2 linked regions of the Bombyx mori genome follow. The protein of the gene in region 1 purifies or fractionates together with the protein of each later gene. This does not show direct contact. Links are inferred from orthologs where the notes say so. Each region holds a gene or a part of one and is shown on either strand. Other genes may lie near its edges. The genes, in order: dystrophin, isoforms A/C/F/G/H; beta-1-syntrophin.

What was found.
Region 2: the proteins of dystrophin, isoforms A/C/F/G/H (region 1) and beta-1-syntrophin purify together in Homo sapiens (co-immunoprecipitation; 4 studies listed by BioGRID and IntAct, counting the BioPlex papers as one, with this or other methods). This does not show direct contact. The link is inferred for Bombyx mori from reciprocal best matches to the Homo sapiens genes DMD and SNTB1.

Annotation. Positions count from the first base shown.
Region 1 is NC_085113.1:13,856,790-13,860,623, reverse strand, and holds part of dystrophin, isoforms A/C/F/G/H, read left to right. Parts: intron 1-368; coding exon 369-491; intron 492-3,834. UniProt on the Homo sapiens protein: Anchors the extracellular matrix to the cytoskeleton via F-actin. Ligand for dystroglycan.
Region 2 is NC_085118.1:12,114,211-12,118,044, forward strand, and holds part of beta-1-syntrophin, read left to right. Parts: intron 1-1,256; coding exon 1,257-1,451; intron 1,452-2,063; coding exon 2,064-2,281; intron 2,282-2,548; coding exon 2,549-2,634; intron 2,635-2,782; coding exon 2,783-3,221; intron 3,222-3,834. UniProt on the Homo sapiens protein: Adapter protein that binds to and probably organizes the subcellular localization of a variety of membrane proteins. May link various receptors to the actin cytoskeleton and the dystrophin glycoprotein complex.

The sequences.
Region 1 (3,834 bases):
CAGTAGGCAGCGGCTTGGCTCTGCCCCTGGCATTGTTGAAGTCCATGGGCGACGGTAATCATTCACCATCAGGTGGGCTGTATGCTCTTCAAGGGCAATAAAAAAAATAAAAAATACGCTCTCGATTTTTGATTGTGTATTGTAATTTACTGTTACATCTGAGTTGATTAATCTGTGGCCATCAAGCAACCCCTTTGATTTCTTAAAATAGTTTCATTATTATTAATTAAAAGAGCAAAAGTGAACGAAGTCCACAACGGTTCATCTTGTGTTGTGAGGTCCGGCGACGTCAGTTGAAGTCAAGTGAAAGTTTCACTGATTGGATCAAAAATGCGACTTGACTTAAGAGTGTAATGTTGTTCTGTCAGGATACGAGATGGCGGCACCGTCGGCGGCGCAGGGCCGGCGCCGGCTCACGTGGCTCGTGGAGGTGGGCGCTGCGCCCCCGTGCGCCCGGGTGCCCTACGAAAAGCATCTAAACTACACTAAGTGTAAGTGCACTTTTAATTTCTTTTTATTTAATACTAGCTGACCCGGCAGAATTCGTAGTGTCTCAATAGATAAATCAAAAACCTAAACTTTTGTATAAAATAAACTTAAAACAAACAAAAGGAATCCGTCCGACGGGGGACACATCAAAGGGAGAACAAAATTCCGAGCATTTTCATATCTATCTACCTTTTAAACCTTCTCTGGACTTCCATAAATAATTCAAGACCAAAATTAGCCAAATCGGTCCAGCCGTTCTCGAGTTTTAGCGAGACTAACGAACAGCAATTCATTTTTATATATATATATATATATATATGCTATCGTTAATTTTATTTAAAAAATCAAGTTCTGTGACTGTTACTAGTTCACTCCTTAAATACCGACAACACTCGCGTCAACCGACACGTACCTACTATAATATTATGGTCTCCTACAGAGTAGTACAGAGCGTGCCTGCCGACGCAACGCGCGCACTCAGCTCGTAGAGATAGTACGAGTAGGTACATGTGCCTGAAGGGCATAGCTTGTCTTCATTTATTATTCTATTATTATAAACCTTATGACGCTCAATCTTCAGTGTGCATACCTAGGATAGGTAAGATAGGATTTTGAAGTCGTCGTGGCCTAAAGGATAAGACGTCCGGTGCATTCGTATCGAGCGATACACTGGTGTTCGAATCTCGCTGGCGGGTACCAATTTTTCTAATGAAATACGTACTCAACAAATGTTCACGATTGACTTCCACGGTGAAGGAATAACATCGTGCAATAAAAATCAAACCCGCAAAATTATAATTTGCGTAATTACTGGTGGTAGGACCTTGTGTGAGCACGGGTAGGTACCACCGCCCCGCTTATTTCTGCCGTGAAGCAGTAATGCGTTTCGGTTTGAAGGGTGGGGCAGCCGTTGTGACTATACTGAGACCTTAGAACTATATCTCAAGGTGTGTGGCACATTTACGTTGTAGATGTCTATGGGCTCCAGTAACCACTTAACACCAGGTGGGCTGTGAGCTCGTCCACACAACTAAGCAATAAAAATAAAAAATAAAAAAATTTTGTGCAGACGACTTGCAACTTTGCGTGCAGGCGATTTGGAGTGGTTTTCAAACATATTATGTTTCAACGGACTGTGGATAACCGTAGCGGTACCAGCTGGCAGGGGCGGACTTCGCTACAGTGAGGTGATGCGGTGATAAAAGGGATGATGGAATCATATCAAACAATGATATGCTATCTATTGATGGCATGCCATTGTTGTGCTGATGATAGCACGGGGGATGCGTGATGTATCAGCCCTTAAAGTCTCTCCCAGACCGTGATGCAGGAGAGGCGGTCAACACTAGTGCCAGAAGTGGATATCCTATTGTCGTAGTCATTTCGTGGGCAAAGCCAAGTTGTCGCAAAAATGATGGGAGTCCTCAATAGAGCGAAGCGGCACTTCGCACCTGGATAAAGGTTTTGGTTTACAAACCACAAGTCCGGCCTAGCGTGGAAAACTGCCCCCATTTTTCAGCCGGTGCTCCAAAATACCAGCTTCTTCCATTTCACCTCAATCAGAAAAAGGTCAATCGGATTGTCGTTGATCCCATTCTCATGGATCGCATGGAATCTCTGGGTCTACGGAGGAACTTCGGTTCTCTCTGTGTTACGTACCGAATGTACAAATGTACGTAGGTACCTACTGTATCTACTAAATGTATGTACTCCACACGGCAGATGAACTGCTTGAGATGATCCCATCACCTCGTTATTACTATCGCACGGCCCGCCCCCGGAGTAGAGTTCTTCCATACTACCTGGAGCCACTACGTTCATTCATTCATGTTCGCCTGTCTACAAGGCCAATAAAAACAAAAAACAAAACCTCGGAGCCCTCCATGGAATATCGGGTACAAAACACAGAGAGCGCTGAGCTGCTCCTTAGATAAAGAGGCAAATGGAACTAACTAATAGTACAAAAAAAAATATCTTTGAATTTCCTCAAAAAATGCAAATAACACAGCGTGTACATATTTTTGTAAAGTTCATTTATCAGGTTACACTTAAGAGTAAAATATATTTTAATCTGCGCAGATAATATTTTATGTAAATAAATGAAAAGTGAAATATTTTTAAAGCTAACGATTTAAGCGAAATTATTCTGATTTTGCAACCATGTGAACAATCAGGAGTCAACAAAACCACTTACGACAGCCCTTTCTATTTCCTCTATTGTCAAATAACGCTGCTTGATGCATGCAGTGGTATAAATCCGAAATTAACTCTAATATCCCTAAGCGGCGGTGATACCATAAGTATGCTCAACCCTCCGTTCTATTTTAGCTATTACTAAATAAAGACACCTTTCCTACATCCAAGTTCCAATTATCAATATCATCGATATTCACAATTTTACAGACGTATTAGGTAATATTTTATCAACCACAAACCGCTGATTTTTCATAAAATATGCACAGAGTCGAACACAGAACGTCCTCATTTATATATTAATACGTGAAGCAAAAACTTTGTATCCCTTTTTACGAAAATTGCGCGGACGGAGGAGTATGAATTTTTCCACACTTATAGAGAATATAGAGATGAAGTGCACAATGCTAATATTTTTTTTAAATAATGCGTAAAAGATACATTAAATCAATCAAGAAACCATTACACACACTACATACCATGTATTTGACGCACACATGCATGCATACATGCATGCATACTATTTATTGTCAAACTTTTGTTCTTGACGTCTGTGGTCAAATTGAGAATACATTAAATATTGTTTGTCTTTATTAATATTTTTTTATAGCGTAGCCTTGGCGAAATTTGTGATGATAGAAGTAGAAAATACAATCATAATAGTGTACAAACTTATTATACAATTCCAATTAATCATAGTCGAATTTCGACTACTGCGGGACCTCTAGTTTTCTTAAGTCGGCTTTAAGTGGCGACACTACAGAGTGTAAGAGATAAGGGCGCCAAAAAATTTCACAGGAACTAAAAAAAGTAGTGTTAGTTTAGTTACTGTGAAATATACTTGAAATACACCTGTAAATATACCGAAGTACATACATATTTATTAAATTTGTCAATTTAAGTATAATGAACCTTATAATAACCGACTCCTACTTCTACAGTGCTCTGGGAACGCCGCGCCGTTGGCTCCGCCCACTTTCATTCTTAGATTTTCAATGTTGCCACAATCCAACGTATTCCAAGAATATTTGCTTTTAATTATATTTAAAAATAATAATAACTTTAATTTTAATCTATATATATAAAAATGAATCCCTATTTCCCTTGGTCACGACATCATCCGCGAACGGCTTTACCGATTGCGCTAATTCT
Region 2 (3,834 bases), on another chromosome or scaffold:
GAGCCGATCTCTGTCGGGTGTAAGAGTGCAGGGGAGTCCTTTACTGCGGTAGGGCCCTAAAATTCCTTGGACCCGCAGTCTGCTCCCAACACCTGCACATCGTCAAGTCCCACATACCCCGCGAGCCACCTAAGCGCGGGGACCTCGTCGGAGGTTCCCACCCCCGGCCCGAAAAAAAAGCCCCTTAGGCTACAAATAATTAGGTAGAGAAAAAAAATATATGAGACTGTATTTGAGATACCAGGTAGGTCCTACTCTAAATAATCTTTTGCACAAAGATATACAAATACCCACAAGATTATATTTATACATTCTGATTGGTATTTATTTATTTATTTAATTTACTTCAGATTTTACATCCATATTACACGTCTTAATTACATTGCATTAACATTTAACATTTAACATTGAATAACAGTTAGTAAATATATTATTATGCATTTTTATGTAATTAAAGACAATTTAGTTTGCTTTTTCTCAATTGCCATTATTAACTTGGTATTTTCAGTGAAAAACTCAGATATTAACTATTCCTTGTAACTCTTGATAGTGATAATCTGCATATCTATTTAGTGATTTTTCATGAAATATATTAAATAATACCATTAAACTGAAAACGGCTTTCAAGTAAACTGTAAATAACATAACAGTTAACAATGTTGCAGAACATCTAACTCTCATCTATCGCTCTGGGACACTCTTATTATAATAGATTATTTTATTGTTTAAGTAGGTCATTGAGCTCACGGCCCATCTGGTGTTAAATAGTTAATGGAGCTCATGGACATCAAAAATTCTGCCACTTATGTCGAGACATGAGTACTTTTTGCAGTCCACATCTGTCCCCACCCTTCACACTGAAACGCATTACTGCTTCACGGTAGAAATAGGCAGGACGGTGGTACTTACCCGCGCGGGCTCCGGATGATATTCCGGGAACCGTGGAAGTCTAGGAAAGTCAATTGTGAACATTTCTTTAGTACGTATTTCATTGGTACCTGGCTGCGGCACCCGAACACCGACACAGTCGCATCACTCGATATGAATGCACCGGGCGTCTTAACCTTCAGACCACGACGAATTTATATTGCATTGCATTGCATTGTTATAAGTGATTGTAGTGCAATGTGCATTTTTTTGTTAGCCATTTAATCATTTCTGAAAATATCTATAATTATTTGTCAGTTTAGGCAATTATAAATTTCTCATTTAAGAACAATAGTCAATTTTCCAATTAAATTGTGTATCCTTTACAGTGAAATATCTCCGTGAAGTGACACCGTACTTCCGTAAGGCATCCATTATAAGTGAAGTAGGATGGGAGCTACAACGTGGGTATATGGCAGACACACCACCGTCGCCACCATCTCCACGCCGTCGACGGGCAGACACTCGTTATGTACCACTGTTAATGGCATGCGTTGCCAAGAATCTCCGTCATAATGACCCAGGTCAGTTTTTAATAATAATAATAACAACTGGCCACAAATTACGCGCCGTCATCTTGGCCCATATTTAGGATTACCTCTGTTATGGGTGGGTACCTGATAACTGATAAACATACATGTTTATAAATATATGCATATACAGATAACAAACACCCACAGAAAGAACAAACAAACCTGTTCGTCAGACAATGCTTGCCCGATGTGGGCATCGAACCCGTGACCCTCTGCCTCTGACAACAGTCAGGGCCGCTAACTATTGCACCACCGAGTCATTCACTCACTTTAAAAAAGTATATCTATATCTATACTAATATATAAATCTACAGTGGTTTTTACGGATGTTCCGTTATAACTACTAAACCCTGCATCCGATTGACTTGAAACTTGGTATCCATGTAGAAAATACATGTACTTAATGGATAGGCCAATATTTATATGAGTGTTGGACTCTCTACACTAGTTGCGGGGCCGTTAATGATAAGAATCTTTGTGGAGCTGAGAAATAATAATTTTAATTTTAATTTTAATTTTAACTGCCTAACGTAGTGGACTGGGACAGCTAGTATGTATATATTTTTAAGGTTTCAAAATATTTTGATGTAATGCAATTTTCAGAGGATCGCACAATCGAAATATATTCACCGGACGGCGTCCACGCATTAGCATTACGGGCCAGTTCAGCGGCCACAGCGTCAGGGTGGCATCGCGCGCTACATGCAGCCGCACGTCGGGCTGCACGCGCCGCTCTTGCTCGCGCCAGGCCGAGACTTCGCCCTCTTGTAGGCGATGTGCGATATGCTGGTTGGATGGCAAGGCGCCCACCGCAAGATCATGTAAGAAAATTAATCAATGTAGGATGGGTAAGGACGGAACGCATGTAAAGCGTGTGGAATGGAGTGTTAAGGTATGAGAAAAAACGGTAAGAAAGGGACAAAAGAATGAAAGACAAAAGCAAGATGGCGAGGACGATTGAACGAGCGAGGTGTGAAAAAGGTGTCAGTTAATTTTGAATTATAATAATAGAGAAGATTTGAAAAGAGAATAATAAAACTAAAAAAGTGGAATAATTGTATGAATCGTGAATGTTCTGTTAAAAATAGATGAGCGCTTCAGGAGGGTCTGACAGCTCCGACGAGACTGAAGGCTGGCAGCCAACATTCGTTGCAATCACAGACAGAGAGTTAAGGTGAGCTTAATAGCGCACATAGTGCTTTTAAAATTTTGCCATTTTGCAGTGGTGTCGATGTGGGCTTACAACAGAGAGATTTTTTTTTTTAAATTTAACATAATGGTTTATGTGAATTTTTTGGAGTATAATGGTCGTCATTGAACAGGCTGTATGAGGCGGCGCCGTGGTCGGCGGAGGCATGGTGCGCGCCGGCGGAGAGCCTGCGGCTGGCGGCGACGCGGCTGGCCTGGTGGCGGCGAGCTGGGGCGGGCGGGGCGGCGGCGCTGGGGCTGCGGGCCGGGTGCGTGGACGGGCTGGTGCAGCGAGCCCTGCGCGCGGACTCGCCGCACGACCTGGCGGCCGCCGCGTCCGCGCTGGTGGAGGGGGCGCACGCGGCGGTGCGAGCGCAGCCCGAGTTCACGTTCCGCTGCTCGGTGGGCGGGGCGGCGGCGCGGCTGGCGCTGGGGGCGGCGGGCGTGTGCGTGTGGGAGGCGGCGGGCTCGCTGGGCCGCGCGCTGTACCGCCGCCCGCTGCACGCACTCCGCGCTTCCGCTGACGACGACAACAACAAGCTCTGGCTGCACTTCGCTGACGACGACACGTTGGTTAGTACCTATTGCTGCTCCTTTGTAAATAAGACTTGAATAGGCATGTACCGTGCTATTTAAAGATTGAAGTTAAATTTCTTTTGGGCACGAAGAGAGATAAATGAGATTTATTGAAGTGAAACTTCTAATGCGACATTCAACAAAATTGTGTTAAACGTATAACGCTACCATGGAATAGAAAGAGACAGAACGAAAGTGAATGCGTGGCACTCGTACGCATGCGCGTAGTATACCTGTTACAGACCATCGCGAGCGTTAGCAACGAGTAGCGTCCGATATTTTAATGAAGCATTTCAAATTATAGCATCTATAATTTAAAATATATATATTAAAAATGTTGAAGATGTCGAATCTCCTATACACCACATTACCTATTACAAGAGCAATCTGATTTAAGGATGAAAAATGAAGAAAACCACAATACTACACATCGAAAAAGAAGCTTCACTTCATTTACGTGCACCAAGTTGCAAGCGCACCGTTTTTTTTTATTGCTTAGATGGGTGGACAGGCTCTGAATATTTCTGAATAAATTTCTATATATTTTAATGTATATTCTGAATACATATCTAAATATTTGATCAAGGAAACCCGTTGAAAGTGGCATATT